2 linked regions of the Canis lupus familiaris genome follow. The protein of the gene in region 1 purifies or fractionates together with the protein of each later gene. This does not show direct contact. Links are inferred from orthologs where the notes say so. Each region holds a gene or a part of one and is shown on either strand. Other genes may lie near its edges.

The links. The genes of interacting proteins can lie anywhere in the genome.
Region 2: the proteins of SIRT1 (region 1) and FOXO3 purify together in Homo sapiens (affinity purification with western blotting; 4 studies listed by BioGRID and IntAct, with this or other methods). This does not show direct contact. The link is inferred for Canis lupus familiaris from reciprocal best matches to the Homo sapiens genes SIRT1 and FOXO3.

The regions. Positions count from the first base shown.
Region 1 is NC_049225.1:19,900,459-19,904,738, forward strand, and holds the start of SIRT1 (NAD-dependent protein deacetylase sirtuin-1), read left to right. Parts: upstream 1-1,480; 5' UTR 1,481-1,498; coding exon 1,499-1,916; intron 1,917-2,192; exon of another isoform or gene 2,193-2,211; intron 2,212-3,707; coding exon 3,708-3,824; intron 3,825-4,280. UniProt on the Homo sapiens protein: NAD-dependent protein deacetylase that links transcriptional regulation directly to intracellular energetics and participates in the coordination of several separated cellular functions such as cell cycle, response to DNA damage, metabolism, apoptosis and autophagy.
Region 2 is NC_049233.1:65,900,854-65,905,027, reverse strand, and holds the start of FOXO3 (forkhead box protein O3), read right to left. Parts: upstream 2,806-4,174; 5' UTR 2,791-2,805; coding exon 2,176-2,790; intron 1-2,175. UniProt on the Homo sapiens protein: Transcriptional activator that recognizes and binds to the DNA sequence 5'-[AG]TAAA[TC]A-3' and regulates different processes, such as apoptosis and autophagy.

The sequences.
Region 1 (4,280 bases):
ATTAAATGTGTCCTGCAATCCTTTTTAAAAAAAGCCTTGGTCCATTCTGAAAGATCAACATTGAATTTTTAAAAATCAAAAGAAAAGTTTTTTCCCACAAAAATACACGAAGAACCACTTGCTGGCATTTATATTTTGAGTGCCTGGGATAACAGGCCGGTGTTCAAAGGCAGTTCATAACAGGTTGTACCAGGACTCGTTGCATCTGATTTAGCACCAAGTAAGAGTAAATATCCCACTGAAGATGTAGCTGATTTTTTCATCCACCTCTCATCGCCCCACTCTTCCTGCCTTTTTTTCCTTTAGATAGTTCTAATGCCACACTGCACAGGTGGTAGATGCCCTACCAAACATTGGCTCTAGATCTGCCATGTATTATTGGAGTCTTTAGTTAAGACTAGATGTAGAGTGACAGTGCTCTGGAATTTCAGGAAAGTGGAAAGTAGAAGGGCTTCTAGTATGCAAGGAACTTCATTCATTCATTCATTCATTCATTCATTCAGGGACTGGTATTTTTGAGCTACTCCTCACTTTACATCTATCTTCTAGCTTATCAGTATAGGTCTTACAACCCTACAAATGTTACCATTTTAAAGATGAGAACATTGCCTATAGAAAGGCTAAATTGCTCATGCTAGTAGGTGAGAATCTCAAATTCCAACGCAAAGTCCCAAGCGTAGACCCGCCAAGTCATCATGTTCATTCTGCTCTTTGCGAATGGCCCACTTGACCCGATGCGTTCAGAAGGAATTCAAGACACCTTTGCAGCCCAGGTGGTGCCAGAAAACAAACAGGCTGATCCCCGGCGCCCCAGGTCAGGGGTTTTCAGGGGGAACACATGCCTTTAAGGATGACAATTCACACCACCCTACAAGTGATGGGGCTGGGGGGGGGGCAGTCAGCTAGAGACAGGAGCAAGAAGTAGGAAGAGGAGCCAAGAGGAGCTGTCACATTGGTGTGAGGATGAGGAGTGAAGTCTTTTATCCTCCACTTAGGCTGGTGGACACGACTATCCAGCGTGCGAAGCTCGGCCTGGGCCAGCTTCATTCCTCATCGTTTCTCAGGAACTAAGTTTTAACCCTTTACCTTAAACCTGGAAAAGACTAAAGCAAGCGAGCCGTGCGCTTCAGACTTCAGCGGAAACTCGCAGGGGGAACCAAAAACTTGGGCCGGCCGGGCGACAGCGACGCGAGGCCGGTTTCGAAGAGCGGCCGGGAGCCGGGCGAGCGCGGCGGCCGGACGCGCCTGCCGCAGAGGGTGGGTGGGGCCGCGCTTCCTCCCAGCCCACGCCGCCTCCGCCCGCCACGTGACCCGCCGTGTTGTGGTCCGGCCCGCGTGGGTGGCGGGAGCGGCGGGAGGGCGGGAGGGCGGGGGCGACGGGGCCGGGTCACGTGACGGGGTTTAAATCTCCCGCAGCCGGAGCCGCGGGGGCGCCAGTGCCGCGAGTCGAGCGGGAGCAGAGGAGGCGAGGGAGGAGGGCCAGAGAGGCAGTTGGAAGATGGCGGACGAGGCGGCGCTCGCCCTTCAGCCCGGCGGCTCCCCCTCGGCGGTGGCGGCCGAGAGGGAGGCCGCGTCGCCGCCCGCCGGGGAGCCACTCCGCAAGAGGCCGCGGAGAGACTGTCCTGGCCTGGGGCGGAGCCCAGGCGAGCCCGGCGGGGCGGCCCCTGAGCGGGAGGTGCCGGCGGCGACCGGGGGCTGCTCCGCGGCGGCCGCGGCGCTGTGGCGGGAGGCGGCGGCGGGCGGGGAGCGGGAGGCCCAGGCGGCGGCGGCGGCGGCCGGAGAAGGAGACAATGGGCCGGGCCTACAGGGCCTCTCCCGCGAGCCGCCGCCGGCCGACGACTTCGACGACGACGACGACGACGACGAGGGCGAAGAGGAGGAAGAGGCGGCGGCGGCGGCGGCGATTGGGTACCGAGGTGCGCAGGGCGCGGGCGGCTGGGACTGCGCATCCCCTCCTCCCTCTCTGGGGCCCCTTGCGGTGTAGGGCTTTGGGGGCTCCGGGGGGCGGGCTGGGGGCTCAGGTCTGGCCTGCGGCGCCCCCTTCCCACCGCGGGCCTCGGCTGCGCTCCTCCCCGGCTGCCGGCGGGGCTGCGGGAGCGGCCCGCGCACCCCCTCCCTCCGCTCCCTTTTTCCCTCCCTCCGCCGCCCGCCTGCGCGGCTTTGCGCTTTGCGCAGCCGCCGGGCCGCGAAGCTCCCGCAGTTGGTTTTAAAGTAAGTTTCTCTCTCCTCCTACTCTCTTAGCTTATTGCCTTTGTTTAACATCTTTCGCTTTTCCGTATCCCCGCTTCCTTGCACACGTAAGTCTGCAACTTTTGCCCGTCCCTTTTCATCAACCTTTTGCAGTTGTCTTTGCAAACTGATACACCTGTGCAATTCACGGCTTTTTTTTTTTTTTTTGAGGGCCTTTATTTTTAAATTTTAAGGAGCAAAGCTATTTCTAAAGTCATAACCCACAAAATTTGAGAAGCATCGCTAAATTTCTGAAATGTTGCAATGAATGCGTATTGGGAGACTGATAGTACTTTAAGACTAGTAAAGTAGGCTTTTTTCTTTTCTTTTTTTAAAACATAAGATTGTATTTATTCATGAGAGAGAGAGAGGCAGAGACATAGAGGGAAAAGCAGGTTCTCTGCGGGGAGCATGATGGGATCCCAGGACCCCGGGATCACGACCTGAGCAGGTTCTCTGCGGGGAGCATAGGGGATCCCAGGACCCCGGGATCACGACCTGAGCCAAAGGTGGACTCTCCACCAACTGAGCCATCCAGGCGCCCCAATAGTACTTTTTTTTCCTAATTATATATACTTAGAATGTTTTTTAGATTAGATATAATTTTGCGTGTATGTGCGTATCTGATAACCCTGAAACACAAACTCATTTTTGTTGTTGTTGTTATGTTAAAGCAGATGTGTTAGTTGTGTATGTCATATCATCTTTGAGAGTTTTCATATTTTTCAGTCTGAGGAGTTTCTGTCGTGAATGTTCGTCTTTACCAGTAAATTCAATCTGGAGCATTTGATCATAGAAGTGCATTAAGTTCTTGATTAGTAAATCACTTATTGATTTCTGTAAACAGTTTAATATGGGAAACGAATAATGCAAATATATCTTTGGAAGTCTAGTATTATGTAAGAGAAGGGCAAATAATTGTCATGAATTTGAATGATTTCTGTTACATTTTTGACCAGTTTCATGAATTCCCATTACTTGTGATCAATAAGTTCAGTTTAGATTACCACTCTGTGTTTTGATTAAGTAAACCTAACTTATTCCTAGATTTTCATGAGCTGAAAGTTTTAAGATTCGGTGCAGAATGTGTAAAGATGTGCATATATGGCTCTTAGAATGGTGCAAGCTGACCCAGTAGGAAGTTTTTAACCTAGGTACTATGAATGAATGTTCAGTGGTTTATTCAGTGAAAGTCATTGCATCATAACTGTTACAGATTTGTATACATTTTATTTTATTTTATTTTATTTTTAAAGATCTTATTTATTCATGAGAGAGAGAGGCAGAGACACAGGCAGAGGGAGAAGCCGGCTCCTTGCAGGGAGCCCGACGTGTGGGACTCGATCCCGGGTCTCCAGGATCACGCCCTGGGCTGAAGGTGGCGCTAAACCGCTGAGCCACCCGGGGTACCCAGATCTGTATACATTTTAGAGGCAGATTGTTTCATCAGCCTTTAGTTACTTTGGTTTCTTTTGCAGATAACCTTCTGTTTGATGATGAAATAATCACCAACGGTTTTCATTCCTGTGAAAGTGATGAGGATGATAGAGCCTCACATGCAAGCTCTAGTGACTGGACTCCAAGGCCCCGGATAGGTACGGTTTCAGAGCTTTAGAGAATAATGTCTTTTTCTTTTTTGTATTTTTTTATGTCAATTAAAAATAGTTTTCTGTACCCTTATAACTTGATGAGGTTTTTAGGTGCTTCTTGAGATTTAGTGTCAGCTTGTGTTTCTACGGAAGGTCTAGTACTTTGTTCTTTTTGGTTTTAAACAGTTTAAGCCCCTGGAAGCTGGCCTCTGGTATTTCTCAATCAGGTCCTTCTCACACCACCAGTTCTTTTCACTTGTACCTCTCTGTGTGGAGTGCTTTTTCTCCAGCGTATCTTGCACTCTCTCAATTCAAGTCTGTTTTTTTTCTTTTCCTTAATACTTAATCACTTTTTTTTTAAGATTTTATTTCTTTATTCGTGAAAATACACAGGAGAGAGAGAGGCAGAGACACAGGCAGAAGGAGAAGCAGGCTTCATTCAGGGAGCCTGACATGGGACTC
Region 2 (4,174 bases), on another chromosome or scaffold:
CTAAAATCTCTACTGGAAGTCCTGCAAGCTACATGAAAATATAACTGAGTTACGTTTCAAGGCGACTTTTGATAATACTACTTTCTCACCTAGATGTTAAAGAAAAAAGTTATTTAACTCTAAATACAATAACAAGAGATGTTATTTGCAAGATTATGAACTACTCGCATACACTTAAAAATCAGAGGGAAAGTGAAAACCCTTCCAACATTAACTTTATAAGTTAAAAGTTAGCTAACTTTTAACTAGCAGTTCTCTGCAGCAAACTCAAAATATACAGGACTAATTTCAAGCTGAGAAATTTGAAAAATATTCCAAACCCCTATATCCATTTTCTTAGATCCTGCAACTCCCCCCTTTCTGATGCTGTACCTTGAGATTAACCCTTGCTATTCACTTTGAAACTCTGTTTTAAAAGATATCACAGTAGCACTTCCTCGAAATGCTATTCACTCTCAAGCTTTCTGTAAATGGCCCTCATATCACACAACTGGCATTCCTTTGCAAAGCTGTAAAATTAGAGCAAATGTAAGATTCATAATGTCAGCATTTGTTAAAGGAAAGGGGACAGATATGTGGAATAATTTTAAAGCACAGTTTTGCTTTTAAAGTATCTCAGCAAGTCCTCTCCAATACTAGCCAATATGAAATTAAAAAAAAAAAAAAACAGATACTTTGTAAGGGTTTTGTTTTGGGTTTTTTTTTTTTAAGGAAATGAAGACAATACACAAAATTCTTTAGTTTTTTCACATATAGGTTCCTCTCCAGTGCTCCACCAAGATTAAACTATTCTTACTGAATACACCTACTGGAACCCAAGAAGATACAGGGCTCCCCAAAGACAGTAAGGAAAGGACAAAATGAGGAAGGAACTACCTCATTAATTAAAAAAAAAAAAAGCTAACTTGCAAAGAGAAGCAACTGATAAGCCATATGTATCTCCAACTGCAAGCACCCTTCTGCCTGGTACTGACACATTCACGTCTTGGGGAAAGAGGCCAGGAGGATGAGGTGCCAGGAAGAGCAAAGCAGCTGGGTATCAGCAGCCCAGCAGGGGCACAGGAGTTAATCTGTTTGGATGCCCAACTGCAGGAAGTCATTACATCATAGGCCTTTCCACACCTCTCTCCTACCACGTGTCCAGTGCCCCGAGAGGCTGAAAAGGAACAGTAGAGAGCCTCTCTTCTGGCTCATTTATAGGCAGAAGCCATTATGACCCAGCCCCGCCACCACACCTCCCTCCCAAAGGCCTAGGTGAAGCTCCAGGCCTCAGCCCTCCACACCTGGACCGGGCCTCAAACAGCGCCGGAGTCCAGGCCTCGGCGGGAGCAGCAGGTGTGGCCAGTCCTTCAGGTGGCAGGGCTGGCCCGCTCCGGGACTCGAAACATCCCAAGTTGGGGGGCGGGGGGGGGGGGACAGATTTACTGCAGAAACATCTCTAAGGAGTAAAGGTGTCCACACAGGCAACCAAAAGAAAGAAAGAAAAAGAAAGGCAGCCAGGGGAAAAAAAAAAAAAAAAAAAAAAAGGTTTGCAACCACTGCTTTTTTTAATGGGATCGCTGTGCCTGCGGGAACCAACACCCACAAGCCAGAAACTTCGACGCAAGGGGTTTTTTTTTTCTCATGCAGCTCTAACGACGACGACCATGCACTGCAAAGCACAAATCCATCCCCTTCCCCGGAGGAGCCCCAAGCACTCCCCCACGTCCTCTCACTGCACCCGCGGGGCCTTCCCCGCATCCCCACGACGGTGATTCCTGCTTCGAAGTTGGCCGCAGACCTACCTCCTCCGTGCCGTCCCGGGGATCCAGCAAAGGCTCTGCCGTCCGCCGGTCCTTCCCTCGCCGGCATCCCTTGCCCCCTCTCCTCCTCCTCCTCCTCCTCCTCCTCCTCCTCCTCACCTGGCCATGCCCGAGGCCTCCCCGGGGTGGGGGGGCGCCTCCTTTCCCGCCCCACCCTCCGCGGCCGACCCCAGGTTCCCCTCCTCCGGGGAGGGGAGGGGAGGGGAGGGGAGGGGAGGGGGGTCGCACGGGTTCCCCCGAAACCTCACAGCGGAGGCGCTCGCTGCCAACCCCTCTCCCGGCGCCCGCGGGCGCGCTCCGCGGGATGCAGGCGCGCGTCGCCCTGCGCAGGAGGCCCGGCGGGTCCGGCCGCCCGCCCGGGGTGGGTACGCACCTTCCACCCCGCCGAGCTGTTGCTGTCGCCCTTATCCTTGAAGTAGGGCACGCAGCGCACCATCCACTCGTAGATCTGGGACAGAGTGAGCCGTTTGTCGGGCGAGCTCTCGATGGCGCGAGTGATGAGGTCGGCGTAGGACAGGTTGCCCCAGGCGTTGCGCCGCGACGAGCACTTCCTCGGCTGCCCCGAGCCCCCGGCCGCCCCCGGCTGCGGCGGGGCCAGCGCCTGCGGAGGCTGCGGCGGCGCCTGGGTCCCCCCGCTCGGCGCGCCCGCCGCGGGGCCCGGCGCGGCCCCGGGGTCCTGCCCCCCGGGAGCCCGCAGCCGGGCCGCGTCTTCGAGGAGCAGCCCGGAGCCCAGCGCGCCGCCCCCGCCGCCGCCGAGCGCCATGGCCGAGCCGGCCCTACCGCCGTCCTCGTCGTCGTCGTCGTCGTCCTCTTCGGGGATCATCGAGTCGGCGGCCGTCTCCCCCGAGGGCTTGGCCGGGCTCCCCTGCAGCTCCGGCCTCTGCAGGGGCCACGTACAGGAGCGCGGCCGGCTCTGGGGCTCGAACTCGGGGTCCAGCTCCACTTCGAGCGGGGAGAGCGGGCCCGGGGAGGCCGGCGCCTCTGCCATCTTCCCCGCCCGCCCGCCCGCCCGCGGCTCGGGCTCTCGGGCTCTCGGGCTCTCGGGCTCTCGCGCTCCGCTCTCGCGCCGGGGCGGGGTGCGGCGGGGGAGGCCCGGGGGCGCCGCGGAGGCTCGGGCTCCCGGGAGCCGCTGCCGCTCCTGCCGCCGCCTGGGGAAGCACGGAGGAGAGAGTTGGTTACCCGCGCGGCAGCCCAGCCCTCGGCCACCCCGCGCCCGCCGCCGCCGCCGCCGCCGCCGCCGCCGCCTCCCGGAGACAGGCAGACCTGGAGACGTGCGTCCCGCGGACCTGGCGCAGCAGACACCGCCCCCTGCCAGGCCGCGGGGAGCCGGGAGCGAATGGACGCGCTCGCGCGGGGCCGCCGGCTCGGCAGGTCTCTCCCGGGCGAGGTGGCGGGGCGGGGAGGAGGGGGAGGGGCGGGGCGGGGGAGGGGCGCGGGCCGCGCCTTTAAAGCGGGCAGCGGCCGGGGCTGGCGCAGCCGAGCCGCGGTCGGAGCCGGGGCGGGCGTGCGTTTGTTTATGTTTCGCTCGGGCCCCGCGCGGGTGCTTCCCGCGGCGCCTTCCGCTCCGCCCCGCGCCCCGCGCCCCGCGCCCGCCGCCCCCGCGCCCCCGTGGACTCCGCTCTCCGCGCCCAGGGGCCAGGGGCCCGGGCTCCGGGGGGCGGCGCGGGGCCAGGAGGACGAACGTGGGTCCGGGCGCGGACGGGCTCTTGTCACTTCCAGAAAAGAAAAAAAAAAAAAAAAGACCAGACGGGAAGCGAGGAGGGGAGGATCGGGGGTGGGGGTAGGGGCGGGGCGGGGCGGGGGGCAAGCAGCTCGGCGGGTGTTTGCAAAGGGTCGAGCCAAGCGGGAACGACCACTTTGGGGTTTTGTGTGCTTCGGTTTGCGGGCGGGCGTTGGACCCCGCACCCCCCCACCCACCCCCCTTCCCGGGAAAGGGCAGGGGGAGGGGGCGAGTCGGAACGTAAATCTTCCAACAGGTCAGGAAGCGCCAAGTCTCCCGGGCTGCCAGAAAACCCGGACCCGCACGTTCATCACCTCCTTGCTCCCGCTGCTGCCATCTTGACAGTTTTCCCCCCTTCACTCAAGTCCTTTAAAAACAGCAGCGGGAGGGAAAGGGGGGCGCGCACACCGAGTCACGGGGAGGGAAAAGGGAAGCGCCTGGCCCGGCTCGGAAGCAGATCCGGAGTCACCGGGAAGGCGACCGCCCCGCTGCACAGCTCCGGCGCCTACCTCGGTTGCTTCCCTTCAGGGACGAGGGGGGAGGACGCACGACTCCGCGCGGGCCCGGGGCGCGGCGAGGAGGGGGCGCGCAACCCCGGCCACCGAGAGGCGCTCCGGCCGCCGCCGCCGCAGCCCGCCCGAGGACCCGCCTG